Linked DNA regions of Rattus norvegicus. The protein of the gene in region 1 purifies or fractionates together with the protein of each later gene. This does not show direct contact. Links are inferred from orthologs where the notes say so. Each region holds a gene or a part of one and is shown in the gene's direction. Other genes may lie near its edges.

Region 1 (7,209 bases):
CATTTACATTTTCTTTACTGTAAAACTGTTAGAAATGATTACCTTTTGTACTGAATTGTTCCCTTGATCTGATTAAGAAAACTAAGTAGGGGCTGGAGAGATGGCTCAGCGGTTAAGAGCACCCGGCTGCTCTTCCAAAGGTCATGAGTTCAATTCCCAGCAACCACATGGTGGCTCACAACCATCTGTAACAAGATCTGATGCCCTATTCTGGTGTGTCTGAAGACAGCTACAGTGTACTTATATATAATAAATGAATAAATAAATCTTTAAAAAAAAAAGAAAACTAAGTAAAACTTGACCTTTGACTTTTTAATTTAAAACTGCTTTTCTAATTTGTGTGTGTTAGTGAGGGAGGTTGTACGTACATGTGTGTGCAGGTGAATGGCACATGGGAATCCTGTAGAGAATGCTGGTGTCCATCCCCATCCTATCATTCTGTATCTTATTCCTTTGAGGCACTTTCTCCTTGAACCCAGGGTTCACATTTTTGACTAGGTTGCCAGTCAGAAAGCCTCAGTGATGTCCTGTTATAATCCCCTTCCCCCAGTGCTGAGGTACATGCTTCTATATGACCATACCTAGCTTGTTAGGTGGGTTCAGGGATCTAAACTCTGGTCCTCATAATTATACACCAAACACTCTTAAATACTGATCATCTCTCCAGCCCCTTGATTTATTTGATTTTCTGTGTATGGGTGTTTTGCCTGCATGTCTGTGGACCATGTTGGAAAGCCAGAAGACGGCCTGTAGAACTGGAGTTATACATGGCTGTGAGCTGCCATGTGGGTTCTAGGATCAAACCAGTGTTCTCTGGAAGAGCAGCCAGTGCTCCTGTCCACTGAGTTGTCTCTTTAGCCTTTGATTTGTAACTTTTTTGTTGTTTAAGGGAAGCTGAGCAGGAATACACAAATTTTTTTTCTGTGAAAATATGTTTTATATAGTCTGGTACTTTGGAGGCTGAAGCAAGAGGATTGCTGTGAGTTCAAGGCCAGGCCCTTGATGGAGCAAGACTCTCTCAAGAAAACATACTGGGCTTGGATGTTCTAGCTTACACCTGTAATACCAGCCCTTGAGAGGCCAGGGGAGAAGGGCTTGCACAGAGCTGGAGGTCAGCTAAAGCTGCAGAGTAAAATCTTAGCTCAAAACAAAACAAAAAAACCCCATATATCCCAAAATAAAAATGCAGGGCCGGGGTTGGGGATTTAGCTCAGTGGTAGAGCGCTTAGGCAAGCGCAAGGCCCTGGGTTCGGTCCCCAGCTCCGAAAAAAAAGAAAAGGGAAAAAAAAAAAAAAGAAAAAAATGCAGGGCCAACAATTTTCCTCAGTGGTAGAGTCCTTGTTTAGCATGCATGAGGCCCTAAGCTCAGTTCTTAGCACCAAAAAAAAAAAAATACATTTTATTAAAAATGAGATTTCGATATTCAATAAAATATCAAGTTGTCATTAGTTAAAATTAATTCACATTTCATTTAATAAAATCTCCATTAAGGTTAAGGGCGAGATGGCTCAGTGAGTGAAAGTATAAGCAGATGACCTGAATTTGATCCCTGGAACCCACAATGGGAGGAGAGAACCAACTTTACAAAGCTGTCTTCTGGCTTCTACACGTGTACTGTGGTCTATGCCGACCTGTATACATGTCATAAACACTAATAATAATATGTTTAATTAGTTGCATTTTGTGTATGTGTTTTTGTTTTTCTCACAGAGCTGTGGCAGCTTATCTTCGTGCCTTAAGTTTGAGCCCAAATCATGCGGTGGTACACGGCAACCTGGCTTGTGTGTACTATGAGCAAGGCCTTATAGACCTGGCCATTGATACCTACAGGCGAGCTATAGAACTGCAGCCTCATTTCCCTGATGCATACTGCAACCTAGCAAATGCTCTCAAAGAGAAGGGCAGTGTAAGGATTTTGTCTTATTTCTTTGTTACGTGGTAGAAAAGAAGAGTCTTCATTGTACATATTAAGTATTGAGATTGTTATATTGGTTTCCTTTCGAGTTTTGGTTGCTGGGAAGGAGGATATTGAAAAGTGTCCATTTTCCAGTGTGTTACCAGCCATTAGACTCAATGATGCAGTTACTTGAATTACTAGAATAGCAGCGGTCTCCCTGATTCTTTTGTGTAGTTTCTGAATGGTTTGTTTTATTTTCCAGGTTGCTGAAGCAGAAGATTGTTATAACACAGCTCTTCGTCTGTGTCCTACCCATGCAGACTCTTTGAATAACCTTGCCAACATCAAACGGGAACAGGGCAATATTGAAGAGGCAGTTCGCCTGTATCGCAAAGCATTAGAGGTATGTTCAGTGCTGTGACTGGAGGGTCTAGCCTAGCCTATGGGACAGTAAAGGGAAAGCAGTTTAGTTTGCCTGCCATTCATTCACCTCTGGGTTTATTTATTTTATTTTATTTTTGGTTTTGATTTTTGAGACAGGGTTTTTCTGTGTAGCCCTGGCTGTTCTGGAACTTACTGTGTAGGCCAGGCTGGCCTCGAACCCAGAGAGTCCCAAGTGTTGGGATTAAAGGTTCAGCTGCCGTTCACCTCTTTAAGAGGGTCATTCACTATTGATATAAGGTCCTATGACATGCAAGATATTGACTAGTAAGCTTAGTAATAGCTTCACTGTAAAGCTATTACAGTGAAGAACTCAGGCCTGTGTGGTTAGTAGGAGTTTAGAAAAGAAGTGGCATTACTCAGCATGATTACAGGAAGAGAAGCACACCTCCTGTTTCAAATGAAGATAGGTATGAAATGGAGGGAGCAGTAGAATTTGAGCTATTAGACCTGAAGACTGGGTAAACTTGGAAGGGGTGGCGAGAAGCCTAGGTGTACACAGTGATGGTCTCAGAGCTGTGGGAGGTACTTTGGAGAGTCTTTCTGCTATTTAATGTCAGCTGTTATCGGAACTCTAGGTCTTCCCAGAGTTTGCTGCTGCACATTCCAATTTAGCAAGTGTACTGCAACAGCAGGGCAAGCTGCAGGAAGCACTGATGCACTATAAGGAAGCCATAAGGTAAGAAACCCATAGCTTCTTTTTTCTGTTTTCATTTTTGAGATTATAATTACATCATTTTTTCTTTCCTGTCTCTCTAAAACTGTCCCATAAACCATACCTCCTTGCTCTCAAATCCATGGACACATTTTTTGTGAATTGTTGTAACACACATAATATGTATATATATATATTTATATGCTTATGTATTTCTACATACAACTTTCACAACCTGTATAATGTTACTGTGTATATTTTCAGGGCTGACCATTTGGTATTGGATAACCAATTGGTGTGCTTTTCCCTACAGAAGGCTTACTCTTACTTAGATGCCTGTATATCTTTGCATAGGATTGAAGCCTGATGGGTTTTCTCCCATTCACTTCAGCATCTCTTTGTTTTTTCTTTTTTGAGACAAGGTTTCTCTAAGTAGCCATGGCTGTCTTGGAACTCACTCTGTAGACCAGGTTGACCTGGAACTCAAGAGATCTACCTGCCCCTGCCTCTCAAAATTCTGGGATAAAGTTGTGTGCTATCAGCACCTGGCATCTATTTTTTAAAGGCGTGGCATAGTGGTATATGCTTTAATCCCAGCACTCAGGAGCTTAGGTAGATGGATCTCTGTGAGTTTGAGGCCAGCCTAATCTGCATAGCAAGAGCTAGGCCAGCCAGGGCTACATTGGAAAACCTTGTGTAAAACAAAAATTTGGGGCTGGAGAGATGGCTCGGGGATTAAGAATACTGGCTGCTCTTTGAGAGTGTATAGGTTCATTTCCCAGCACCGGGTGGTAGCTCGCAACCATCTGAAAATCTAATACCAGGAACTCTAATGACCTCTTCTGACTTTAAAGGGCACCGGGCTTGTGCATGTTACATAACCATACATGTGGGCAAAACATCCACACACATAAAATAATAAAATAATTTAAAAGTTAACTATTTTAAGCTTTTTATGAGACAGGGTTTCATTATGTACCCTGTCTCATAAAATTATGAACATGAAACAATCATGAATTATGTTCATGTTTGTTTTGGAACTCACTATATCAGGCTGGCTTTGAACTCATTGAAATCTACTCTACCTACCTCTGCCTCCCATGTCCTGGATTTAAAGGCATGTGCTACCATACCTGACTTACATATTTTAAACTTAAAAATCATTAAAAATATTCATCTGTATATGGATATGTGCAGTACATGTAGGTCCCCACAGAGGCCAGAAGAGGGAGGAGTGTGTTAGATCTCCTAGAGTTGAGAGTAAGGCAGTTGTGAACTGCCCCATGTAGTTGCTGGGAATTGAACCCAGGTTGTCTGGAAGAGCAGTCAGTACTGAGCCACCTCTCTCAGCCCCTTGTTATTTGTTTATTCATTTAGTTACTTATATTTATTTTTAGTTTTTTTTCCCCTGAGACAAGGCCTCTCATGATTGTCCTGGAACTCCATGTGCATCAGGCTGGCCTAGAACTCACAGATGCCCCTGCCTTTGCCTCCCATGTATTGGAGTTAAAGGCATGTATAATGTCCTGCTTTACTTTTTAATAATCATATTTCATTTATTTCATGTGTGTGGAGAAATGTGGGCATACACTACAGTGCCCATGTGGAGGTCAGAGGATAACTGTTTTATCTTTTCATATATGTTCTGTGGTTGAACTCATGTTATCAAGCTTGATTGTAGCCATCAAGTTACCTGCTAAACCATCTCACTAACCTTTTAAAATTACTGCTTTTTTTTTTTAAAAAAAAATGTGTTTTTATCAGTATCCCTGGCTGTTCTGAACTTGCACTGTAGAGCAGGCTGGCCTCAAACTCACAGAGATTTGCCTACTTCTGCCTTCCAAGTGCTGGGAACACACCCAGCTTATTATTGTCATATTATAAAAGATTAATTTGCTTTTAAGTATATGTATTATCTATGTATAAAATGTCCTTAAGTTCCAGAAGTGGGTGCTTTATCCCCCTAGAGCTGGACATTGATGCTGGGAACAAAATTCAGGCTCTGCAACAGCAAGAACTATAATTGCTGAGCCCTAATTATTATATAATTTATTGTTATTATTTAATAATTTATTACTATCTAATAATTAAAGGTTTGGCATTTGGTAGGTGCTAAAATGACTCTTTCTCCCTCTTTGGTGCTGGGGATTCAAACTAGGCTTCATGCTTGGTAGGCAAGCACCTAATCACATGCCAAACCCCCCGAGTGCTTTATATAACAAGATTTTACATGAGATAATCAAGCTTTTGTCTTCTCCTTCAGAATCAGTCCTACATTTGCTGATGCTTATTCCAATATGGGAAACACTTTAAAGGAGATGCAGGATGTTCAGGGAGCTTTGCAGTGTTATACTCGTGCCATCCAGATTAATCCTGCCTTCGCAGATGCACACAGCAATCTGGCTTCCATTCACAAGGTACTGCTGGTATTTAAAGACGGGGTACCTTAGCACTGAAGTATCATTGTAGGAAACTCCTCACAAGTTTGTTTTCTTTCCAGGATTCAGGGAATATTCCAGAAGCAATAGCTTCTTACCGCACAGCTCTGAAACTTAAGCCTGACTTTCCTGATGCTTATTGTAACTTGGCTCATTGCCTACAGGTAAAGAATAATGGTTCAATGTTTTTCTTTCTGTATTGTTACCACTTTTTAATTGTGTTCCGTGATAATCTAAGCCTGCTTAGAGAAAAGAGACAGTATTTTTATTTTATTTTTATTTTTCTTTATTTTTATATTTTTGGGCAAGTAGCAATCATAGGGCAGTTTTCAGGAGCCATTTCTTTTAGCATTGGACTCCAGTTGTCTGGCATGCATTGTCTGGCATGCATCGTCTGGCATGCATCGTCTGGCATGCAAAGGCAAGCACCTATACTCACTGAGCTAGCCCCAAGACTGTGCTTTTAGGCGGTTATCTAATATTACTTTAGGAGCTCAAATACTTGTAAAATAAATCTTTGGTTAAGTTTTTGGGTGATCATTTCTTCTTGCTTCCTCTAGATTGTCTGTGATTGGACAGACTATGATGAGCGGATGAAGAAATTGGTTAGTATTGTAGCTGAGCAGCTAGAGAAGAATAGGCTGCCTTCTGTCCATCCTCATCACAGCATGCTGTACCCTCTTTCCCATGGCTTCAGGAAGGCCATTGCAGAGAGGCATGGGAATCTCTGCTTGGATAAGGTGACTCTCGTTTTAGTCTTTTTGTTGTAAACTGAAATGCATATAGAGAAAAACATTGTATAAATCAAATGTATGACTTTACCAACTAGAAATGAAACTGACTTAGCTACCCTAGAAGCCACACTTACTTCACTGTGGCCTATGGCCTGACTTGAGCTCATTTCTTCATTTCTGATGGTGGTAGTTTTTTTTAAGGTGGAAATCTAGACTAGGCATGGTGATACAAACATATAATCCCAGTACTAATGTAATTCAACACTTAGAGGCAGAGGATGGTGAATTGAGGCCAGCCTAGGCTACATAGCAAGCTCTTACCTCAAAACCACAAACAAGCAAAAGCTCCCATCTGAAAAGCAAACTAAAGGCAATAACAACAAAAGCCCCACATGATGTTTAAATTGAGCGTGTAGTATTATATACTCTGAGAATTAGAACACGACTTGGTAAGGTTTAGAATCCTCCTCCAGGAAACAGTGATAGATCTAAAGTTCTCCCTCCCTCCTTCCCTCCCTCCCTCTCTCCTTCTCCCCCTCTCTACTCCCTCTTTCCTTCCTATCATTTTTCCCCAAAATGCTATCCATAGAAGTTTCTAAAATTCTGTAAGGGTTATCATACTCCATTCATATTTCTTCGTTCCTAGAAATTTTAGATGTGTTCAGACTGTTTCATAGGTTTTTTGTGTTTTTTTTTGGTTTTTTTGGTTCTTTTTTTCGGAGCTGGGGACTGAACCCAGGGCCTTGCGCTTCCTAGGCAAGCGCTCTACCACTGAGCTAAATCCCCAACCCCTGTTTCATAGGTTTTCTATATCCTAGCTAGGTTCACTCTAAGCTCTATACAGCTGAGGATCACACTGAACCTCAGATCCTTTGTCTCCACATCACAATGACAGGGTCCCAGGGGTGCACCAACATGTCCTTTTTTGTTGTTGTTGTTTTGTCTCACTACATCACACTGGATGGCTGCAACCCAGTGTGTAGACTCAAAGCTCCATGTGTCTTAGTCTCCTGAGGGTTGGGATTAAAGATGGGCACCACATGC
Region 2 (8,009 bases), on another chromosome or scaffold:
TTAATAAGAGAGAGAACATCATCAAGGGGCTGAAGTGATAGCTCAGTGGTAGAGAGAGCACTTACACAGCACAAACACACGATAATGGAGTCAACCCTCAGCACTGAATAATCAAATAGCATGGAGTTTTATAAAAGGGAAAAGCATTCTGAGGATAAAATACAAAATGCTTCCATTAGGTAAATAACCAGGGGGGCTGGGGATTTAGCTCAGTGGTAGAGCGCTTACCTAGGAAGCGCAAGGCCCTGGGTTCCGTCCCCAGCTCCGAAAAAAAGAACCAAAACAAAAAACAAACAAACAAACAAACAAAAAAAAAACAGGTACCAAGATGCCAGCTGCGTTTTGTAGAATAACTTTTTTTTTTCTTGGAGCTGAGGACCGAACCCAGGGCCTTGCTCTACCACTGAGCTAAATCCCCAACCCCGTAGAATAACTCTTACCCTCTTGAGACTGGGTCTTCTTCAGCTGGTAGACCAAGCTGTCTTTGAACCACAGAGACCAGCCTGCTGCTTTCCCAGTTCTGGAATTAAATCCAGAACTACATCGTTTCCATGGATGCTTTCCTTTACTTCCCCCCTCCCCCCAAAGTAAGCCCTTGGATTCTTTAATCCTTGGCTTCTGTTGAAGAGAGCTGCAAAAGAGCTACACATTTGTATCGCTTCCCCCTTTTTCTATAAATCCTGACATCTTAGCTGTAGGGGTATTACAGTGGTTAAAAGCCCTTGTTGCAGGGGATCCAAGTTCAATTACCAGCCCATACGGTGGTCACAGTCACCCCAAACTCCGAATTCCAGGGAATCTGACTCCCCTTTCTGACTTATGTGGGGGCCCTAGGCATAGCACATGGTTGGACATTCATACATGCAGGCAGAACACTTGGGAAATAAACCAGAAAAAGAAGGATCATTGACCTTTTTTTTTTTTTTAAACTTATTTTATGTATGAGTACACTATAGCTCTTTTCATGAACACCAGAAGAAAACATCAGATCCCACTACAGATGGTTGTGGGTTGTGGTTGCTGGGAATTGAACTCAGGACCTCTGGAAGAGCAGCCAGTGCTCTTAATTGCTGAGCCATCTCTCCAGCCCTGACCTCTATAGGCAGGTTTGCACAGATTCTGTTCTGTGGACCGGACAATTTGTGACATAAGCCCTCTTTGTTGTTACTTTTTTTTCTTCTTTTTCTTTGAGACGGGTCTCAGTGTTTCCCTGGCTGTCTTGACTGGTTTTTGTACTTTTTTATGTCTTAAGAGAGTGTTTCACTCTGTAGCCAAGGTTGTCCTGGAGTTCACAGGTCTTCTTGCTTCAGCATCCTCAGTGCTTGCAATACAGATGTCACTACACCTGGTTACAAAGTCTATGAATTGTTTTCTTGGCTCTTTTCTGTGCTGCCAGTACCTTGTGCTCTCTGTACTGTGATGGTCGGTGTTGGATCTCAGCTGTGTACAGATGTACCACTGCCAGATAAAGATCTGCTGCAAATTGGAATCTGCTGTTCTTACAGTGAAATCAAAGACAGATGCTTTACTCTATTCCACTTCATACAAAGTTGCTGATTTGTTTGTTATAGGATTCTTCAGTGCTGTGCACATTTTATCTAAAGTTAGCTGTTAAGATCACTCCATACCTAGCATGTCCCTAGAGTGGCTCCTGGTTCAATCTCCAGCACTGTACATAATAAAATGAACTAGAAGTTAAATGTTGGGTTTTAGTTTTTTTATATTTAAATTTTTTAAATTTAATGTGTATGAGTGTTCTGCATCTATTATGTGTACATACAATGGGTGCCGGGTGCCTGGTGTCCAAGGAGGCCAGAAGAGGGCACTGAATCCCCGGAACCGGAGTTTTTTGTCTCTTTGTGGATGCTGGGAACATAACTCAAGGGCAGAGTTGAGGAATCAGGGTAGGCTCCTTGACAAGAATCAGAAAGGTGGTATTGAAGGATCTCACCAAGGGAAGCAGACGCAGCCTCCTATTGTACTGGAAGCCCCACGAGCTGGCATGTAATCTTGGGACATGTTAGAAAGAAAACTACTCAAGACCTGGACTTCTGAATGGAGCATTAAAGGCCTCTACAGTGTGAGAGAGGGCTTACTAGACTGGAGCACATGTTCGTTCTTCCAGGAAGCCGAAGTTAGGACATAAGTCTGGCTTCCAAGCCTTGTGTCTGTGCATACATAAATAAGCTGGTTGTATGGGGCAAAGCTGAGCGCCTACCCGGTGTTAACTGCTCTCTGGGCAAAGTGGCTAGTGTTCACAGTACTGTAAGAGAGTAAAGGCCTCTCTCCGGTTTCCTTAAGTAATTTGGGGGACAGTGAAGGAATGTCACTGTAGTAAGCGCTAGAGGGGGGGGGGGATATCCTTAAATGCCTTCGTGAGGAGGCTGGGGGTTAGGGGGTCCGGCCCTCGTAGGCACGTATGCCAAGGCATTGGCTCCTGACTCCTGGTTGGTATTTAGGAAGAAATGGACGGGGCAAGGGTGTTTCTAGCAAGGAGTAAAGCAGAGTTAAGTCCCAGGGAATTCCTGTTGGGCGGATGCCCTTCCCGGCCCCGCATACTCCCTGCAATAGGCCAAGAGCTGCGCGGCCCGCAAAGGGACTTTGGAGTTTTCCTGGCTCCTTCCCACCGGAGTCTGACGCTGGTTTACCACGAAGCACCAGTCCCCGTAGGCGCAGAGGGTTTCTAAAGCTTTTGGAATACTGGGCAGAGTGCTGTTCCAGGATAGCTCGAGGAATCTCTTCATGGCATTGGCTCCTAGCTTAGCCCCTTGGTTCGGGAATCTGTCAAGCGTGCCCAGCCGATTAGGCTGGCGCTCCGAGGAGCCCCGGTGGCGCATGCGTGTAAGAAGGGCGGCACGGCCGCTCTAGCCTCACCACGTCTCGGTGGCCGGTTGATTTCTTCCGCTTGCCGCGCGGCCCACCGCTCTAGGACGGTAGTCTCGCTGGTCTCCGCTCTAGATCAGTGGTAGGTCTGGAAATGGCTGCGGGATCCCTGCGGCCGGGGTAAGTGGCTCTGTGCAGCGAAGGAGGGCGGGAGCCGTGTGGACCTGAACGGCATTTAGGATCGGGGCAAGGCGGAGCGACGCCATGCCGGCAGCCTAATCCTGGCGAGCGGTGCAATGGCGCCGAGAAAATGGCGTCGCGGTCCGTGAGGCCCTTTCCGGCCCCGGGCCGAGGGATCGCGGAGGAGCGCGTGAGGCCGGGCGGGCGGGCGGCCTGCCTGCGTCTGGTTTCTGTCTAATCACTGGTTGGCTTGTGTAGTCCAGGCTGGTCTGGGTCTGGGAGGCTGTGGAGCCCTTGATTGTGATTCGGGGTTAGGGGCCCAGCCAGCCTCTCGCGGCCGCAGGTCCTCAACACTGGTAGAACACTCGTGGTAGGACGCGATCGGGCCTAGGCGCGAATTCGCGGGAGTAGGAGCAGATATCTCTTGGGGGTGGGGGGAGGCTTCGGGGAAGACCAAGGCCCAGCCCCTCGTAGGGCCTGGGCGTTGCCTGGGCTTTCATTGCCTCTTGCCAATGTTGGTGGCCAGGTGTGGGTTAATGTAGATTGATCTCAGCAGTAACTCTTGAGTAAGAGGCCCTGGGTTTGATTTGGAATGTTGTGTATATTTGATTTTCCACAAAAGGATGTTCCTTGTTACACTTGATTAAGTGGAGTGAGTTTGTCTGTCGGGCAAACTCAGTTGTGTACAGATGAGAAACAGCACACAAAAAAGGTTGTGTAATTGATGACCCCCTGCCAGCACTCATGACCGGCACTTTTCCTCCTGGCACTCAGTGCAAGTGTAGCATCACAATAGCTTGCTGAGAACGTGTGCTAGGGAACCTGAGGAAAGCTCAGGTAGGTCTTGAAGGCGAGATGGGATGTCTTCCTATCTTTTGTCGTTCGCAGAAGTTTTCTATTGTCAGAAAAGCTCTCTGGACCTCTGGTAGGTATTGCCTCAATAGGCTAAAGAGTCTTAATTCAGTTGGTGCTGAGCACCTCAAGAATGATTTCTCTTCAGCATGTGGGTACTGTGCCAGGCCTTACACTTCTGTCAGCATGGCATGTTTTACCATGTTACACATTTGTCCTGTGAGACTAGGTGACTTCTGTTTGGCCCCAGAAGAGTAAAGATTCCACTGTTTCATGTTGCTCTTAGATCCCTGCATAGTGAACCCATGTTGTAGGAACTGTTTCTTATGCTCAAGTCCTAACTAAGAAATTGCCCCTAAATAGAGTTTTCCTTAGGTCTTAGGTGACTGGGTCTTTATAGAAACTCACCAATAGTCTCTAAGGTTGTGTTGATTCGGTTACAAAGGTTGTGTGATTTGCAGCCAGTGATAGTGTGCTCTTTGGAAAGAGGAGGTCAAAGCCCAAAGTCTGAGGTGTGCTCATTTGTTCTGAGTGTGCAGGCTCATCTGTGAGACAGACAAGGCTTTAGTTTATTTTCTGAGCAGTCATTTTGAGAAGTTCATAAGGGAACATGAGTAGGCAGTTGACATACTTTTTAAGAATAATTCTAGAGGTTGGAGAGATGGCTCAGCTGTTAGGAGTTCCTGTTTTCTTTTCTACAAAACCAGAACTTGGTTCCCAAGCATCTGGAGGGCTCACAACCATGTCTAATTCCAGCTCTGGGAAGTCCTATGCCTTCTTCCGCATCTTTGGGCACCTGCACACAGGTGGCAGACACATTTTTTTTTTTAAGATTTATTCATTTATTATATATAAGTACACTGTAGCTGTCTTCAGATACACCAGAAGAGGGCATCAGATCTCTTTACAGATGGTTGTGAGCCACCGTGTGGTTGCTAGGAATTGAACTCAGGACCTCTGGAAGAGTAGTTGGGTGCTCTTAACCGCTGAGCCATCTCTCCAGCCCAGCAGACAAATTTAAAAATAAGTAATTTTATCCTTGTGTCTATACAGTTTATCCCTAGATGTTACCTGACTGTTGGGAATAGAAAGTGCAGGTTATTTAGGACAGGAGCAAGAGTTGGGAGACTATATCCAGAGAGCCTTCCCCTGAGAAGCCTGATAGGCACTGTCAAGGATTTGGTAAATTGTAGCTTAAACACATGTGTTTGGGTTTGAAATAGCCTTGTTGCCTGTTTATATTGTGTTGATATTGAGGAAGTACTGGGGATTGTTGCTCCTCTAACTGCCTTGAAAGGAATTCAGCTGAGCTGCAGTAGATAATACAGGAAGCTCTGCTAGAGCTCATTGTTGACCTCATTATCCTGCGCCCACACCACAACCAAAGGGAAAAACGCCCATGTATTGTCTCCACCAATCCTTGAGATGGACAGGAAGGCTCCAGCTAAAACACAGCTCCTTACTACAAATGTTAGAGATGGAAAGGAAGGTTTCAGCTGAAAAGTTTCTTGGGCTTTGACCTGAACTTAGGAACTTACAGCCTCCTCAGCATAATGGCTGAACCTGAATGAGGAGGGAAAGGAGTGGGATCGGATTGGGTCTACTCATGGCCCTTGTGAATCTTAGCTAGATAGAAAGGGTGCTTTACACAGACAGATAGCAATTATGGGGGCTTTGTGCTCAGTCCCCACACCAGTGATTCTCAAACCAAACTCCAAGGTCTTTATACTAAAGCCTTCCTGGTGACACTAAAGAGCCTTTGTTAATACTGATTGATTTTACATTTTTATTCATTATAAAACACTTTTATTTAAACTCCAAAGTCTACGACAACTTAATGAAAAAAAGCAATGTTTATGCTTTTGTAATCTGTTTATTTCCCAGTGACTGTTTTCTTCCATCTGTTTCTGCTTCAAGTGTCACATCACTGTCATTTAGCCCCTAAAAAGTGTGACTTTTCAGTGGTAAGAAAGGGGCATCTGATACTTAAGCGCTGTGCAGCTAGCTCTGTCTATCCAACTATCCTTTTTTTTTTTTTTTTTTTTTTTTTTTGGTTCTTTTTTTCGGAGCTGGGGACCGAACCCAGGGCCTTGCGCTTCCTAGGTAAGCGCTCTACCACTGAGCTAAATCCCCAGCCCCAACTATCCTTTTTTTTTTAAAGATTTATTTATTTCATGTATGAGAATACACTGTGGCTATCTTCAGACACAGCAGAAGAGGTCATCGGATCCCATTACAGATGGTTGTGAGCCACCATGTGGTTGCTGGGAATTGAACTGAGAACCTCTGGAAGAGGAGTCAGTGCTCTTAACCTCTGAGCCATCTGTCCAGCCCCCAACTATCCATCCATTTTTATCATTGACTGTTCATAACGATTAAAAGTTCTCTTTTTGTTTTTGTCTTTTTGCAACAGGGTCTTGCTATATGTCTCTGGCTGTTGTGTTAGTCACTCTGTTGACCAGGCCAGCCTACCTCTGCCTCCCGAGTGCTGGGATTAACAACAAGCACCACAAGGCCTGGCCTTAAGAGTGCCCTTATTGCTGGGCACGGTGGCACATGTCTTTAGTCCCAGCACTCGGGAGGCAGAGGTAGGTGTATCTGTTTGAGTTCCAGGATGGCCAGGGCTACACAGAGAAACTGTGCCCTGACACTCCCCACCCCACCCCCAAAAAAGGAGTGCTCTTATTGTTGAAATGAGTTGGAAGAATACTTGACTCTAAACACCTAGAGAACAGATCACCTTTACACTATGAGACGGTGTCTTTGAGCTATTTTTATTGGTGTGCCCAGGTTCTTGCCTTTGAGGAAAAGTATAGAACAAGAAATGATTTTCTTGTGATATTAAAGATGCTGTTTTATTCTATTTGTACTCTGAGATGTGAGTTAGGATCTGCCAATGCCGTGATGCTTAGAAAAGTGGCACAATCAGCTAGATGTATCTGCAGAGGACAGGCACCAAGACTGTGCTTGACCGGCTCTTGGCATTTACTATAGGATATAATGTGCTTTCATTGTACCCAGCAGGACTTAAGATAGTAATGCCTACATAATCTGGGGCATAAGTATGTGGAAATAAACATGAGCTTCACATCCCAGGAATTCCATATCCTTTGCTTTGCAGGAAACACAACAAAAGGATCCTCCAAGCCATATACATGTACACACATTGTTGGGTAGGTAGTCAGCCTAGATACGGGGTTTCCTGATAAGCTTATAATGTGATGATCTGGTCCTGATCTTAGGAGCAGCAGTTACCCATACAAAGCCTACCATCTCTGGGGATGTGAAAGGGACAGGAGGAGAACCCACCCTAGGTAGCTGCTCTAAGAGACTTGATGCCCTACCCCAAACAAGGATAGCCTCACACAGTTTCTAGCTCCTGGCCACCAGTGGAAGACTTGAAATTTCCTCTCTGCATTGCTACCAAACTTAAAAGCCTATGTTTTTTAAACTAGAAACTGGAAGGAAGGAATCTGGGATACGGAGAGACTTGGAGGCCTGGGTGAAACATCAGTCCTGACAGTGGTTTTTCTCTTGACAGTGCCACTTTTTTGTCCTCATGGGAGATTTAAATCAACAAGATTTTTATTTTTAAAAAAAAAATGATTTCCTTATAATGCTTCTTTTCCTCAACTTACTTTGACCTGGCCAGAAAAATTTAATTGATTTGGTAAATAGCATTTGTTTTATTGAGCAGTAGACATTGAGAGAAATGAAAACTGGGTTTCTTAATTTACTTCACGGGCTGAAGCATCAGCATATGTGATAGACAGGTTTTGCCACTGCAGACCTTGGGGCTCAATGACAAGAGCTAGGCATTACAGCCTGCTGGGTCAGGATTATATATGAACAGCAAGCTGCTCCCACTGAGGGCCAGGGAAGAGGAAATTTCTCATTTCTGAACAAGTTGAATTTTATATAAACTATTAATTTACTTTATGAGAATTAAAACTGAGTTTAAAAGAGCCCTGATAGTTTTTCATTTTTCATAAACAGTGTCAGCATCTTCTCAGTCCCTTTTACTTAATGGAAGATGTTTATTTAATAATAGAAAGAATAGGGGCTGGAGACATGTCTCAGTGGTTAAGAGCACTGACTGCTCTTCCACAGGTCCTGAGTTCAATACCCAGCAACCACATGGTGGCTCACAACCA
Region 3 (7,872 bases), on another chromosome or scaffold:
CAGAAGTTGTTCTAAAGAACCTTTCTAAACAGGTCCACACACCCCCCTCCCCATCCTTTCTTTTTCACTACCTCTGGTGGGTGGTTGACTACAAGGGAGGTTAAAGCATCTAAGAACCATCATTAAAAATAGGTTTTAAACAATTAAAATTACAGTGGACTACAGCGCATAAGTTGAATAGACTGTTTCTTCACCAACTTGCTTTTTGGTCATGGTATTTCATTGCAATGATAGAAATCCTAAGACACAGGTTTCTGAGAAAGGCTGTGTGTTAACTTTCATGGCCACCAGCCCTAGGTCTGATAGCCATTCAAGGGTAAGCCATCTTAGAACCTGGCTTGTGACGTAGCCGGTGCCGGGAACCCAACTGGAGTCCTGTGTAAGACTAAGAAGCAGTCATAGCTGCCGAGCCACTTCTCCATCCTCACAGGTAAACTTGTAAAATAGAACCTCAAAGGAAGCAAAACAAACTGCTGGAAAAAACCACACCCGAAGGCAGCCAATCAGAAGCTGCCCTGCCACCTGGCCAAGGCAAGAACAGTCAGTCAGCAACAGTTTCCAGGCCCCCCAGTAAAGATTCTGCAAAGTTTCCAAAACCCTAGCCAATCCCAGAGACGACCCTAGAGATGGCCAACTAATCAAGTTAAAGATCCATTTACCCCCACCCTGGAGTTCCTCCAATCTGCTTTAAATTATTCCTGTGAAGCTCACCCTGGTCTTCAGTTCTGATGGTTGGTGGACCCCTGCAGGCTGGATTTCTGCAGAATAAGTGCTCTTTGCTTGCATCCTAATTGAGTGTAGGGTATCACTACTCTTCAGTGAATCCTGGACCCTTTCAAGAGCAAACAACTGAAAGCGAGTTCGTCTACAAAGTTTCTCCAAGTTTTCCTTTTTATCATTTTTTCCTTTTAACTTCACAACCTTTAAGGGGATTGTCAAGTCAGGGATAAGTACGAAGCTATGTTAACATTTGCTGCAGTTTTATTTAGAATGTCATTTGAAAATGTTCTGTCAGCGTAAAAGTCAGTGTCTCACACAATGGTACACAGAAAAGAGCTCATCCAAGCCCATAGTAAGAAGGGCTGAGAAGAGTTGCCAGGAGATACCAATTTTAGTTGTCCAGATTAGGTACTGAGATGTGGCCATGCCGTGAAGGATTAAGTTCAGTTCCCAGAACCCACATCGAGCAGCTCACAACACTGTAAATCCAGCTTCAGGGGACTCCTACTCCCTCTTCTGGCCTCCAAGGGCACTGCGTGCATATGACAGGAATGACTAGACACACAGACTTTTAAAAAAAATTACAAACAAATAATTCTCTTTTTTCTCCCCCAGGACAGGGTCACTCTTTCAAGTCAGGGTTTCTCTTTTGAGACAGTTTCTCTTTCAAGACAGGGTTTTGGTACAGCCTTAGCTATGCTGGAATTCATTCTACATGTGTCTGCCTGCCTCTGCCTCTGCCTCCTGAGTTCTGGGATTAGGCATGTACTACAACTTTACTTCTATATAAGCTGCAGAATAATGCCAAAGCACACACACTTTATCCATTTCTTCGTCTGTTTTGTTAGGCTTTTTTGAGATAGAGTCTTTAGCCCAGGATGATTTTAAACCTCCACCTCTGTCACATGGTAAGTTCACAGGAGAGCATACATAGACCTTAAAGTTGACTAGAAAGTCTTTGTTTACTGTGGTGACGCAAGAGGTTTTCCCAAATCATGTAGCCCCAGGCCTTACCACTGTTGGTCTTTTAAGCACAAAAACCGCATTCCAGGTTGACACACGTTAGTTAACAAGACTAGTTAGCAAGAAGGAGAAGGACAGAGGCCAAAAGCAAGGTTAGTATGTTTAGGGACTTTCCCAGACCCATCCTGGAACCAGTGACTTAGTCTTTGATTCCGTTTTGTCACGCAGACTAGGTCTTTGTTCCTGTTGGTTCCGAGGCCTGAATGATGTTTTTTATTTTCGGTGTCAGTTGATTTAAGTGTGGAAGTCAAAAACCATTTGTGGTTGTCAGTCCTCACCTCCCATCCTCCTGTCTAAGTTCTGGGAATAGAACTCAGGTTGCCAGGCTGGGCTACAAGGGTCTTTCCTGGCTAAGCTGTTTCACTGGCCCTAAGAACTCTTTTCATTATTTGTTTTTGTAATACTAGGAGTCGAACTAAGGCCCTTCGTACTTTTACTTGGGAATTACTGTACTTGGCACTGTTTTCACTTCAGGGCTATGTAATTAATATCGTGATAATACTGGCTCTGAATGTCTTTTCTAACACTCATTTCATTTATTTATTTATTTATTTATTTATTTATTTATTTATTTATTGGTCTCCTTCTCTATGCCCCTAAACTCCCAATAGGGTTTCAAAATTGTGCAAGCTGGACTTCAACTCTAGGCAAGCCTTGTTAATTTGCATCCTTTAACCCCAGCCCCATCAGTGCTGGTATTACCAGCATATGCCACCATGCTCAAGAAGTTAAGACTTTTTTTTCAGTCAGAAGTGATCACTCATGACTTTAATCCCACTACCTGAGAGGGAGAGGCAGGTGGATTTCTGTGAGTTTGAGGACGGCCTGATGTACACAGTGAGTTGAAGCACAGCTAGGACTAGAGAGACTCTGTCCCAAAAAAACAAAAACAAACAAAAAAAAAACCCAAAACAAAACAAAAAAACAAAGCAAAACAAAAAACTAGGCCTAGCTAAAAAACATGATTTGGGAGGCAGATAAAAGTGGAGCAAGAACTGGGCCAGGTACTGGCACGACATTTATTTCCCTCTCCGGAGGCCTGGCATTCCCATTGATAAGCATCGAAGGGTAAATGATTGGATGCAGGAATGAATGAGACACATGTAGGCAGTAACAGGATTAACCAGTCTGTGGCAGCAGCAGACACTGTACGGAGTCAAATATCAAGTTGGCCACGCCCTTCGGAAGCCGTGATCCGGAAGCTACTGTTTGTTGCCTAGGAACGCACGGAGCCCGCCTGATGACGCTAATCAGCTGACGACATCTGCGTCCCAACGTCGAAGCAAATGCGGCCATATTGCCCTCTGGCGGCCACCGTACGGACTTGACTGACAAGGTGGCGGCGCGCTCGGACGACCCGAACTGTAGGCGCAGCCATACTTCCCGGAACGTATGGTCTCCGCTGTCTTACGGACTGGATGGTCAAGATGGCGGCGACAAGGAGACATTCGAGGCTCTAGATGGGCGACCTATTTGTTTGCCGCTAAGCGGTCGCGCCAGGCGTGGGGAGTGAGAGTGCGGGACCGCGGAGGCGGGACCAGTGGCGGAAGTAGTTGCGGGTGCCTTTGCTACCGCGGCCGAGGGGCTTGTTCAGCTTCGCGGGTTGCTGCGCGGGGTCCAGAGAGGGTGCTCTGTGAGCGGAGATATGGTGAGTACCTGGTCGGATCGGGGTTCAGAGGCAGAGGTCGGAGGGGTTGGCAACCGCTGCCTATTGGCAGGCGCACGGGGTTCCTGGCGAGCTGTGTGCCCAGTCTCTGGGCCGGTGAGTGAAGGGGTGTGATGAGGTTTGAGGTGAACCATCTGTGAGTTCTTTGATGAACCGTTGTAGGGGGTCCGTAGTGGAAGTTCAGTGGGGACTCCAGATGGCAGTTTTGTGGGAAACCTTCACGCGAAGTACCTTCGTCAGAGAGATAAGGACTTGGCCATGAATGTATTTGCACAGGCTCTGGAGAACCGGCATTGGGGGTGGGGTCCACGAGCTAAGTTATAGACACTTGTGGGAAGTCGGGATGGGACGACAGCAGAATAAATTTAAGTGCTCTCCGTGTAGAACTCTTGAATGGGACAGTTTGGTTGAGTGTATGCGATGAGCAGTCAGAGTGACAGGATGCTTGACAGTGTGATGGGAGGTCTGAGTGATGGGGAAGTAGAACACAAAGTAATGAGGCCCAGGACTAGGTGAGGAGGGTCTGGGTGAACTATAACGGAAAGGCTAACGGGAAGTCCGAAGACACAGTTGGAATTTGTGGCTATCCACGGTGGAGCTGTGAAGAGGGAATTAAGGAGCCATCATGGGGGTGGGTCTCACAGGAAGGAGATGGCTCAGACCTGGAACCTCCAGATGCTGGGGAGGACAGCAAGTCTGAGAATGGGGAGAACGCCCCCATCTACTGCATCTGTCGCAAACCGGACATCAATTGCTTCATGATGTGAGTTTGGGAGAAGCAGGTGGGCTGATGCCTGGCAGGGGCGGGAACCCGGTGAAGCGGACCCACCCCTCACATCTCCACCACTTGCTCTATTCTATGCAGTGGATGTGACAACTGCAACGAGTGGTTTCATGGGGACTGCATCCGCATCACCGAGAAGATGGCCAAGGCCATCCGGGAATGGTACTGTCGCGAGTGCCGAGGTGAGGCTTGTGCATGGGCAGTGAAGGAGGTGGACTCCAAGAGATGAAGGAGCTGTAATGGGAGGGATCCTGGGTGATAATGGTGTCCTGTGTGGCCAGAGTGATCGTTGGTCTGTGGTGAATTGGAAGGCCAGCTCCAATGTGAGCAATTGTGGAAGAACCCAAAGGAAGGGGCAGCTCTCCCATAGCGTGAGCTGGACAAGTAGGTGGGGCAGGAAAAGAGAAAGAGGTTCTGGGACCATTCAAACCTCTCCTCCAAACCCACCTTGGCTCCACTCTTTGCCTCACAGAGAAGGACCCGAAGCTGGAGATTCGTTACCGCCACAAAAAGTGCCGGGAGAGGGATGGCAGTGAGCGGGACGGCAGTGAGCCCCGGGATGAGGGAGGAGGGCGCAAGAGGCCTGCTTCAGATCCAGAACTGCAGCGCCGGGCAGGGTCAGGGACAGGGGTTGGGGCCATGCTTGCTCGGGGCTCTGCTTCGCCCCACAAATCTTCTCCACAGCCCTTGGTGGCCACACCTAGCCAGGTGAGTAGCCACAGTGCTCGGGGTGGGTGAAAGTTCTGCTTTGGGCCTCATCTATATCCTCATCTCTACCCTGGATACTGTCTCCTAGCATCACCAGCAACAGCAGCAGCAGCAGCAGCAGCAGCAAATCAAACGGTCAGCTCGGATGTGTGGTGAGTGTGAGGCATGCCGACGCACTGAGGACTGTGGCCACTGTGACTTCTGTCGTGACATGAAGAAGTTTGGGGGCCCCAACAAGATCCGGCAGAAGTGCCGGCTTCGCCAGTGTCAGCTGCGGGCACGGGTGAGCATGGGCAGAGCTGGGCAAGATCAGATAGGAGAGCATGGCTGGGAGGCTCAAGTAGGGCTGCTTGAGCTACAAATAAGAAAGTACAGGTGGGGTGGAGCTTGGTTATGTTCAGACATGTGGGAGGGGCCTAGCAAGTTCAGGGGAAAGCTGGGGGTAGGGTGGGGGGGATGATAGCTTTAGGTTGTCAAGCATGCCAGGACACATGGGGTAGGATGGAGTATATCTGTGGTGAGGGGAGGGGAAAACTGCATTTGTTAGACCAGGCAAGGCCAGGGTAAGTAAATGGGGTTAGGACAGGGAAGACCTTTATTTTCCTGGGGCTGACCTAGGCCTTCCTCCTGCGCACAGGAATCGTACAAGTACTTCCCTTCCTCGGTGAGTCCAGCCCCCCAGGGCGGGGCAGGGCTGCGGGCAGGGCGGTCAGGGCCAGTCCTGAGATTCTGCCCCGCAGCTCTCGCCGGTGACACCCTCAGAGGCCCTGCCAAGGCCCCGCCGGCCACCACCCACTCAACAGCAGCCACAGCAATCCCAGAAGCTGGGGCGTATCCGTGAAGATGAGGGGACAGTGTTGTCATCAGTGGTTAAGGAGCCACCAGAGGCTACAGCAACACCTGAGCCACTCTCAGATGAGGACCTAGCACTGGACCCTGATCTGTACCAGGATTTCTGTGCTGGGGCCTTTGATGATCACGTAGTGAGTAACATGGTCATCCTGTGGTGGGGAGGAAGGGGAAAAGGTGAAGTCGTAGAATGGGGAGGGGGCCAGAGGGCGAACAGGCTGCTTGGGAAATGAGCAGCAGGTGTGGTAACGAGTCATCAGGTGGGTCAGCGCATGCCCTGCTTGCAGCCATGGATGAGTGACGCAGAAGAGTCCCCGTTCCTGGATCCTGCACTGAGGAAGCGGGCAGTAAAAGTGAAGCATGTGAAGCGTCGAGAGAAGAAGTCTGAGAAGAAGGTGATGGAGAGGGTAAAATGGGCATTAAAGGAAGAGGATGGCGCGGGGAGGGAGGTGGAGACAGCCAGACATCTGGAGCCTTGGAGAGGCAGACAAGGTCTGAGGCTGACCTCTGTGGAAGCCTGACATGACGTGGCTTGCCCTTTAGAAGGAGGAGAGATACAAACGGCACCGACAGAAGCAGAAACATAAAGACAAGTGGAAACACCCAGAGAGGGCCGATGCCAAGGACCCTGCATCTCTACCGCAGTGCCTGGGACCTGGCTGTGTGCGCGCCGCCCAGCCTGGGTCCAAGTATTGTTCAGATGACTGTGGCATGAAGCTGGCAGCCAAGTGAGTCTTCCCTGGGGCACTGAGGGGTCAGGAAGTACAGAGTAGGGGACGGCCAGACTTCCCTCCGTATACCTACAGTTAGTTGTCTAGGTACTGTTCAATCAAAACCCCATGGGCACACGAAGCCACTATGCAGTCCCCACCCCACTTCCCACCCCCCCAGTCACTCAACCTTGAACCTGTTTGAGTGACCCATCATTCACTGTCCCTTGGTCAGCTCACTCACTGCTTCTGGTGCCTCTCTGCCTGCACCTCACTGTCTCCCTGCAGCCGAATCTATGAGATCCTCCCCCAGCGAATCCAGCAATGGCAGCAAAGCCCCTGCATCGCCGAAGAGCACGGCAAGAAGCTCCTTGAACGGATCCGCCGTGAGCAGCAGAGTGCCCGCACCCGCCTTCAGGAAATGGAGCGCAGATTCCACGAGCTTGAGGCCATCATCCTTCGTGCTAAGCAGCAAGCTGTGCGAGAGGACGAGGAGGTAAAGACGTGGTAGAGTGGGCAGGACCCGGTATGGCGTCCTGCCTGGCCTCATCTTTCCTTTCAACCTATGCAGAACAATGAGAATGACAGCGATGACACCGATCTGCAGATCTTCTGTGTCTCCTGTGGGCATCCCATCAACCCCCGAGTTGCCTTGCGTCACATGGAGCGCTGCTATGCTAAGGTCAGGAGGCTAAGGGAGTGGATGGCCGGGGGTATCTATGGGCCCACAGGGACAGATTGGTTGCTTGGGTAGTGTCATGAGAGGGCACCCAACTTCCTTTTATCTGTGTTCATCCTTCCAGTATGAGAGCCAGACATCCTTTGGGTCCATGTACCCCACACGCATTGAGGGGTGAGTAAGCCGTGTGGAGTAGGAGCAGGGTGGTGAGGGTGGGGTGGGAAATAGGATTATGTGTGGAACTGGGGCCTTTGACGTGTTCTTGGAGCTACTCAAGGCCATATCCTGTGTTAATCCCACAGGGCTACCCGACTCTTCTGTGATGTCTACAATCCTCAGAGCAAAACATACTGTAAGAGGCTCCAGGTGCTATGTCCTGAGCACTCACGGGACCCCAAAGTAAGGTTTTTCCTCAAACCCCCTGCGTCCTGTCCTACCCTGCTTCACGTCTCACACCCATTCGTTCTTTTCCTCCCTTCTTTCTTCCTTCTCTTTTCCTGTCAGCTTCCGTTCCCGCCCTTTCTGTTTAACCATCCCCCACGCCTACTCTTTTGTCTCCTCTTGACTCCCCTCACCTGCTCACACCTGCCTTGCTGTCTCTGCAGGTGCCAGCTGATGAGGTCTGTGGGTGTCCACTTGTACGCGATGTCTTTGAGCTTACAGGTGACTTCTGCCGCCTGCCCAAGCGCCAGTGTAATCGCCATTACTGCTGGGAGAAGCTTCGGCGAGCAGA
Region 4 (7,760 bases), on another chromosome or scaffold:
GGGGAGGCTCAGGGCCAGTCCTCCAAGTGCGCGGCCATCTCTGCCTCCGTAGCCTGGCCAAGACTGTTTACTATCTCCTGCAGGGAGCTTGTGCAACCGGCCTGGAGGGGACCCGAGAGGGGCGGGGACATTTCCTCTTCCACCCACTTCGGGCTCTCCAGAGGCTCCGCCTTCTCTTGTCTTTCACTGGTTAAATTCGAGTCCCTCTTTCCCTTCTTGTGTATGCATTGGATGATATTCTTTAGAGCTCCGCCTATCCGGAGGTTGGACTGGAGTTTAAGTTGCTAAAAATTTTTTTTCTTCGAAGGGCGGAGGGAGGATTCCTGGGGCTTACTTGAGGTACAAGCCCCCGCCCCTGCTTTTGATTGGCCAATTGGATAGGCCTTCCCCTTCTGGGACAAGCTAGGAGGGGACGTCCTCCGGCTCCCTCCCCCCCTTTCTCATGAGCGCGCTCGGCACATGGTTGAGGCCCTTCTAGCTCCCATCAACTTCCCTCCCGCCCGGAAGTCTCAGGCTCCGCGCCCTTATTTAGGGGGGCGGGGAAAGCCTTGGAGGCACACAAAGATTCTTCCGAGTCTAAAGATCTGCTAGCCCTCGAGGTGAAGCTCCACAATTGCGCTGTTGCTCCAGAAAGTGTAGCTCCCGGGCTGCTGCACGGAGGGGAGGGAATGAGTTCTAACCTCCTCCCGGTCAACTTTTGCTGCCTTTCTCTATGCCCCTTGACTTCCTTAAATTTAAGTTTGAGAAAGCTTGGATGTTGGCCGCATCCTTAATTCCTTGTGCAAGGCAATCGTGATCCTTAGTCGGCGGAATCTAAGATTATGACAACCTAGAGATGGAACCTTAGGCAAGATCTACGAAACCTCGGTCTCTGCAGTCAAGGGAAGTCCGGGAGGCCTGTTTCTAGCAAGGATTCGGGGGTATTCGTTGATACCATGGTGGGAGTGCTGTACATTATGTGGTAGGTACCCCGTCTGGTGGGTAAGGCAGTTCAGTTAAGGATAGGCATCTGTCAGTTTTGGAGTGCTACTTCAGCCTGGGACGATTTAGCTGTTTTTTTTTTTGTTTGTTTTGTTTTTTCTTATTTTTAAAGCCCTGTCCTGGAACAGGGCTTGGCTTGTTACCGGTGTGGCTGACCGGTGTGGCTGCTCCCACCTGTCGGCCACTCTTGGAGTTCACAACTCTTTACTATGGCCTCACGGCGTGAAGCCATCCTAGGACTGAGACCCACCTGTTGCCAACACTTGTTTATGGCTGTCTCCGTAGGATTACAGGAGAGCAGCACTGGATTTACGAAACGGTTCCCGGTGTTGTATCTCTTGGGGACATTCGACTCTAGGGAGGATTTTTTTCCCTTTGCTCTAGAGCGCGGGAAGACTAACCCCGCCTAACCTCACACGGCGCAGCAAAAGGCTCCCCAAAGCAAGGTCGGCATCGGTCCTACGCCTTATTAGTGAATAAATGAAAGGAATTAGGTATCTCAAAGCACTTTATATGTTTAGGCATTGTTACCTACCAAGAAGGCTTAGAGACCGCCATTAACTCATTCTGCCAAGGAGGCCATGGATACCCCTCACATTTTTTTTTTGAAGGGGCTGGCCTAGGAGACACTATTCCTGCCCTATCGAGGATAGTTGCGATTACAGGCTCTTCCCTTTGAACAGTCGTTTTTAAGACCATATCCTTCACACAATCTGGAATTTTTACTCGTTATCTGAATGTGAATGCACACTCAAGGTTTATTTATACAGTGGTCTGTGTGAGCTTTTCTGCATCCCTTCCTCCAGTTTAAAATGTCCCTGGATCTACCCGGCCGACCTGGAATACATTTTTTTTTCTCTCATGCTCCGCCTTCCGGAGGCTTGCCCAGGCGGTGACATTTAAAGGCCTCCGCTGGGTTATCTCCGCCCCCTGAGGGCTGCGGATTCTGGTTGTCCCAGTGTCACAGTATGCAGCCGGCTCTGGCGACTGGCTAGTAATATCTGGGTTTTTTGTATCAGATTAGAGCTCCAGACATTAATTTTGGAGTCGGCTTGCTGAAAGTAGCTGCTGAGTGCTCCAGATGGCTGTGTTTAGAAGACCGTGAAAGTGTAAAAATAAGTGGGTAGGAAGGACGAGGCTTTCTGTCATTGTTTTGGTTAATCCTCCAATGGTGGTAATACTACTGCCTTTTCCTTTTCAAATCTCAAAGCCTCCGGTTTCGACCGCTGCGCTGCGCGCCATCTCCGGTCCCGGCCTTGGAACGCTGAGCTTCAGTCTCCAGTGTAAACATTCCACAAAAGGACTGCTAAGGTTCAGCATCCTCGCGCAGGGCGGAATGGTCTCCTTCCTGGACCGGCGCCGTGTCCAATGGCGGCTCCTACCGGCGCCAAGATAGTCCAATCAGATCTTTGGGGGCGGAGCCTGGCCCAGCAGTGTAGTGGGTGGAGTCGGCCTCACTTAAGGACATTTTTACCCCACATTGGTTACTTACCTTCCTAGGGCTATGAGAGAAGCAAAGGTAGTCTTCCAATGCGGGAACCGGCGGAGGCGGGAGCCGATTTGTTAGGCCTGTGGCTGGGGCGGTATGGGGAGGGATATGTGAGACTCTCCAATGAGATGTGACGAGGTACCCTTCTTCCTCCAATAGTATTGGAGCCTGGAGGAGGGATTCGGCAATCAGTCTCCAATAGGCGGGGTTGAGTTAGGGACTCTCCCCGCCAATAGGGGCGTGGAGAAGGTGAGCGGCTTGCTCTCCCCTCCCAGCGAGGGAAGAGGGCGGGAATAGGCCTTTGCGGCACGGTGATTGGCTAAACCATTGACGGATGGGTAATATATCCCGTGGCGGAGCGAGGTTAAGCCTTCCCTCGGCGGGGCGGGCCGGGAGAGTGGGCGGGATTTCCCGGGTAACAGAGAAGCGGCCGCGGCGGTAGAGGCGGCAGAGACGGTTTCTCCATCTTCCCCCCTCCCCTTCCCCCCTTAGAGTTTCCCTCCCTCCCTCCCTCCTTCCCAGTCTGGACACCCAGGCCTGTGACCGCTTCGTAGGCGCAAAGGAGGTTGCCAGTCCGCTCTTGCGGGCCTGTGCCCGCGCCGTTCCGGGGCCTCCGTGCTGGGTGCGAGGCTCACGCCGGGAGCGACGCGCAGGCTGAGTGGCTGGAGCTTTTGCGGTGAGAGCACGCCGCGTCGCGGTCTGCCCAGCAGCTGGGTGGCGGGTAACCCGGGACTGGAGGGCGTGTGTTTTTCGGGGGGGCTGACCTCGGCTTCCCGTGCGTGGCTGTGGGGGGCGGAGCGGAGCCGCACTCAGTGCGGGAGGGGGAGGAGAGCGTAGTCCCGGTGCGCACGGAGGGGCGGGCCCTAGTCCCGCCGATCAGAGGCGGGGCCGGCGCGCGTGCGGTGGTGGAGAAAGGGGCGGGGCGGGCTGGGACTAAAGGCCCGCGGCCGTGGCCCCGCCCCTTCTCCCCTTGTGGGCGGGGACACGGGTTGTACTGCTTTGGGTCCGCGGGGTGTGCGGGACGAGAAGAGGGTCCCGGCGTGTGGCTTTTAGGGCGCGGCGGCGAGGGGGCGTGAAGCCTGTGTTCCCCCGCCTTAGCGGGATCCGGTTGGCCGGAAGGCGCGTCCGGGGCTGTGATGCCACGCCCCTCCCGCCCCGCCCCCGCCGGGATTTCCGCCTCCTTAGCTGTGAAGCATAGCTGGGGAAAGCCCGCTGTAGCGTCTGGCAGGGGTCAGGGTTCCGTGTCTGCCCCGCCCTGCGTCCCTGTAGGTGGGAAGGCCGCTTGTAGACTGGGAGCGGTGGAGGTGTCCCGACTTTCTGCTGTGGCTTCTCCATCCATTCTGCTTGGGGCATCGTGGCCCGGAGCTGTAGTCTCTACTTTGCTTCACGCATCGTGAATGGCGCCTTAAAAGCTATGGAGAGTAGAAGCGTGGTCAGCTGCTCCTCTTAGTTGTAATTATTGGGACGAGAAACTCAGCGTCCTCTCTGGAGTGTCTGCGGTGGGGTGCGGCTGGTGCTGGGCCCATGCTTCCCCGCCAGTGGCCGGTGGGGGAGGGGCAGCGTACTCAGAGACTGAGATTCTGGAGGGCGCCAACCTTTCCTAGAGTTCCCTTGGTGTTCAGCTACTGTGCCTTAACAGAGCTAAGCTGTGCACCCATGGGTAGATAGCTAAAATTTGCTACCATTTTTGGTACCTCAGGACTTTAAACTCAGTTTGCCGTTCCAGCTCCTTATAAAGCTGAGACTGTATTTCTAGAGAAAGGATTGAATTTACTTCTTAATCTTAAAACTGGTCTTTGGCAGAGATGATATTTGAAGATGATTGTGTGTGTCGGAGTTTATTTAAGGCACATAAGTATTGCTTCACCACTAGGTTATACCCCAGGGCTGATTTTTTTTCCTCTAGTCAGAATTTTTCTTTTTAATTTAAGTAAAATACTTTGATTTCTTGATTTTTTTTTAACCTACAGAAGGTTTTGTTATATAAGCTTAGCTGCACAAAGGTAACTTAAAATTTTGTGTTCTCTTTTAGTTTTATGTAATTGTTAGTCCTTAAAGATCTTTTTAGATGCTAAGTAGGTTGAACCTTATGAAACCTATGTGTAGCATGACCTCCCAACCTGTGTTACTTTGGCCATTGTGGATTTATTGCACAGGTAACCTTATTAGGTGGGTTGGTGTTAGCTGATCTTATTTAGAGAACTTTTTATGAAAAGTAAACACTGAATCCTTAATTTATGTATTGATGTCTGAATGAGTATGTATAAACCACTTTTAAAAAAGATTTATATTAAAGTGTGCGTGCGTGTGTAAGGCCAGAATAGGATGTTAGATCCCCTGTAGGTGGAGTTAACAGGTGGTTATGAGCCACCCGACATGGGTTCTGGGAACCCAACTTAGGTCCTTTTGCACGAGCAGTCTGCAGTCTGTATTGAGCCGTCTCTAACCCCATCGTTTATATGTAATTTCTGAAGCTAAATTCTGGATTTGTCCTTTGTTCAGTAGAGGCTGAAAACCATGCCCTGTGCCGTACATAATGAAGAGGTTAAATATTCACTTTTCAGCTAAAAAAGTGACAACAGCAGTAGTAACAGAATTGAGGTGGAGGCCAAAAGATAAGAACTTGGGTGTCTTACAGATGTAGCACATTGAAAACGGTAGTAGAGAATGCTTAGCCTTTGAGGAAAGTTTGCCTAACCTCAGTTAATTCTACCATTTGAAGCACAGTCTGGGAAATACAGATGACCTAATTCATATCTTTTTTGTTTTTCTTGTTTTGTTTTTAGAAACAAGAGTTTAACTGTAGCCCTGGGTGTCCTGGAGCTCACCCTCTAGACCAGGCTGGACTCAAATTCAAGAGATCTGTCTGCCCCCCAAACGCTGGGATTAAAGGCATGTGCCGCCACTGCTGGGCATAATTCGTACTCTTATAGAATGTGTATTCTAGATTGTGTGCTGGAGTCACAAGTCCTAGGCTTTAAAAATTCAAGAACCTAGTTATATTTGTTTGCTTTTGTTTTTGTTTTTTCTATTTTTACATTTCCATCCATCAGTACTATATGTTTATTTTTACTTACTAGTATCTAAGAGAACCTGAGTTCAGTTTTTAGCACCCATGTCAACATGTATCTGGAGCTCCAAGTACTGACACCTCTGGCCCCTAGGCACCCAGACACAGGTGCATACCCATATATCTATACACGTGTGAAAAAAACAGAAATATAGCTTTGAAAAATGTTAATACTTTTAAATTCAGGCCTTAATAGTTCGCATAAAGAAGTTTTTTTTTCTTCTTTTTTTTAAGACTTGAGATCGGTATTAATTAGATTCCTGGCAAAGCACAGCCATCTTGACAGTGCAGCCAATATCCTGAAAGGCTATCCAGGGTAGCTGTAGGGGGAAATTTACTCAGAATTCAGAGGTTGTGTTCATGACCTTCAGTAATCTAGTGGTTTTTTTCCCCAACTAAAAGTGTATGGACTTATATCTTTTGATTCTTCTTTTAAAAAGATAGTACTTGCTTTTTTAAACAATAGCATCCCTCTTGTAATAAGGGTTTATATTTATTGAACTCCGATTCTGATCATTTGCTAATGTGTTTAATTGTATGTGCACGCATGGCTGCTTTGAGTTGTGGACTGGTGAAATGGGCCACTCATTTATCTGAACCCGCTCTGGAGCTCAGCCTGCCTAGAACTCAGTGATTTTCTTGCTTTTGCCTCAGCTAGGGTTACATCTCTGTTTTGAAATGCATGTTTTACAAGTGAAGGTGGCTTCAGTGGGTAAAGACATTTACCATGCAAATTCTTTAAGACTAAGTTAGATCCCAGGAATCCACTGTGGAAGGAGACAGCTAACTCCTGAACATTGTCCTCTGACTATCATATCTGTGCAACCTTCCTAACAATAATAACTAAATATTTCAAAAACAACAAGGTGAGGGGCCAGGGAAATACCTGTCAGTAAAAATGCCACTGAAGCAAGAAGACTTGTCCTATTTTTGAGAGATACTTGAAAAGCTGGCCCATGGAAATCTAAGTGTGTGGTAGCCTGGCCTGAACTCTTAACACTAGGAGCAGTAGATCATCGGGGATCCCCTGGTGCTAGCCTACTTGAGCCAATTCCTGGCCAGTAAAGGAACATGTTTGAAAAATGGACTTTAGGGGTGATGGCTGAGGTTGACCTGGCTTGCTTATGCACAAATACAGACTTAACTAGGGACAGCAGAATGGTTTAGTAGGCACAGCACTTGTTCCTAGAGCTTGAAGAACTGAATTTGATCCCTGGAGGGGTTCAAAGGTGGGCCTCTCTATGAGAGACCACATAGATACATATACACATATACAGTAATATGTCTGTAATCCCAGCACTTGGGAGCTAGATACAGGAAGATAGATGTTCAAGGCATCTTGGCTACTTTGGGAGTTTGGCTCAGCCTGGGCTACACAACACACTGCCTCAGGAACACAGAATGAGTGACTGAGGAAAGTAGTACACAGAGGTTTAGTCTACATAGGTGATCAAACAGGGATCTGAATCCAGGTAGTCTGTCTCCAGTGTCCTCAACTGTTTAAAGCCATCTCTGGTTTATGATGGAGTAGTGTGTGTCTGTGTGTGTAAAATATATGTATACATTTTAATCAAAACAAAAGTTTGTACTTAAAAAAATTAGTGAGAGGGGTGTGAGCTCTTTTTTTTCCTTTTCTTTTTTTTTTTTTTTGGAGCTGGGGACCGAACCCAGGGCCTTGCGCTTGCTAGGCAAGCGCTCTACCACTGAGCTAAATGCCCAACCCCATGAGCTCATTTTTAAAAGTGCTTGCCTAGTGTGCCAAAATCCCTGTGCTCAGCCTCCACAACCTCGTAAGACCAGGTGTGAGACTGTGTACTGTACTGTGTGTACAGGTGTACTGTAATCGTAGTACTTGGGAGGTAAGTTGAAGGCCATTTTTAAGTACATTGTGAGTTTGAGGCCAGCCTACACGCCATGAGAGAGATTCTAACTTGTAAAGAGACAAATAGTGGGCTAGAAAGTTGGCTCAGTAAGTAAAAAACACGTTGTCAAGCCTTGAGTTTGATCCCTAAGACTCACGTGGTAGGAGGAGAAAACTGCTGTAAGTAGGCCTCTGTCATATACCTGTGCACTCCCACATCCCCCCATATAGATAGTAAAAACTGAAATGAAACATACGAGACACAAAGTTTACCATTATGATTTACAGTTTTCCATCTTTTTTAGTTCAGCTCGGTGGCATTAAGTACACTCACGTCCTTGTGCAGCCCTCGCCACCAT

What was found.
Region 2: the proteins of Ogt (region 1) and Dido1 purify together in Homo sapiens (affinity purification with mass spectrometry; 3 studies listed by BioGRID and IntAct, with this or other methods). This does not show direct contact. The link is inferred for Rattus norvegicus from reciprocal best matches to the Homo sapiens genes OGT and DIDO1.
Region 3: the proteins of Ogt (region 1) and Cxxc1 purify together in Homo sapiens (affinity purification with mass spectrometry; 3 studies listed by BioGRID and IntAct, with this or other methods). This does not show direct contact. The link is inferred for Rattus norvegicus from reciprocal best matches to the Homo sapiens genes OGT and CXXC1.
Region 4: the proteins of Ogt (region 1) and Sin3a purify together in Homo sapiens (affinity purification with western blotting; 4 studies listed by BioGRID, with this or other methods). This does not show direct contact. The link is inferred for Rattus norvegicus from reciprocal best matches to the Homo sapiens genes OGT and SIN3A.

Annotation. Positions count from the first base shown.
Region 1 is NC_086039.1:70,833,188-70,840,396, forward strand, and holds part of Ogt (UDP-N-acetylglucosamine--peptide N-acetylglucosaminyltransferase 110 kDa subunit), read left to right. Parts: intron 1-1,710; coding exon 1,711-1,906; intron 1,907-2,159; coding exon 2,160-2,300; intron 2,301-2,916; coding exon 2,917-3,017; intron 3,018-5,256; coding exon 5,257-5,410; intron 5,411-5,493; coding exon 5,494-5,595; intron 5,596-5,991; coding exon 5,992-6,171; intron 6,172-7,209. UniProt on the Homo sapiens protein: Catalyzes the transfer of a single N-acetylglucosamine from UDP-GlcNAc to a serine or threonine residue in cytoplasmic and nuclear proteins resulting in their modification with a beta-linked N-acetylglucosamine (O-GlcNAc).
Region 2 is NC_086021.1:188,189,716-188,197,724, reverse strand, and holds the start of Dido1 (death-inducer obliterator 1), read left to right. Parts: upstream 1-2,901; 5' UTR 2,902-3,003; exon of another isoform or gene 3,004-3,928; intron 3,929-3,938; exon of another isoform or gene 3,939-8,009. UniProt on the Homo sapiens protein: Putative transcription factor, weakly pro-apoptotic when overexpressed. Tumor suppressor. Required for early embryonic stem cell development.
Region 3 is NC_086036.1:70,085,391-70,093,262, forward strand, and holds the start of Cxxc1 (CXXC-type zinc finger protein 1), read left to right. Parts: upstream 1-3,335; 5' UTR 3,336-3,388; coding exon 3,389-3,391; intron 3,392-4,053; coding exon 4,054-4,172; intron 4,173-4,274; coding exon 4,275-4,375; intron 4,376-4,665; coding exon 4,666-4,901; intron 4,902-4,989; coding exon 4,990-5,184; intron 5,185-5,538; coding exon 5,539-5,565; intron 5,566-5,641; coding exon 5,642-5,884; intron 5,885-6,037; coding exon 6,038-6,145; coding exon of another isoform or gene 6,146-6,157; intron 6,158-6,293; coding exon 6,294-6,478; intron 6,479-6,748; coding exon 6,749-6,956; intron 6,957-7,031; coding exon 7,032-7,142; intron 7,143-7,263; coding exon 7,264-7,313; intron 7,314-7,441; coding exon 7,442-7,538; coding exon of another isoform or gene 7,539-7,744; coding exon 7,745-7,872. UniProt on the Homo sapiens protein: Transcriptional activator that exhibits a unique DNA binding specificity for CpG unmethylated motifs with a preference for CpGG.
Region 4 is NC_086026.1:66,378,774-66,386,533, forward strand, and holds the start of Sin3a (paired amphipathic helix protein Sin3a), read left to right. Parts: upstream 1-3,009; 5' UTR 3,010-3,146; intron 3,147-3,234; exon of another isoform or gene 3,235-3,493; intron 3,494-5,256; exon of another isoform or gene 5,257-5,362; intron 5,363-7,706; exon of another isoform or gene 7,707-7,760. UniProt on the Homo sapiens protein: Acts as a transcriptional repressor. Corepressor for REST. Interacts with MXI1 to repress MYC responsive genes and antagonize MYC oncogenic activities. Also interacts with MXD1-MAX heterodimers to repress transcription by tethering SIN3A to DNA.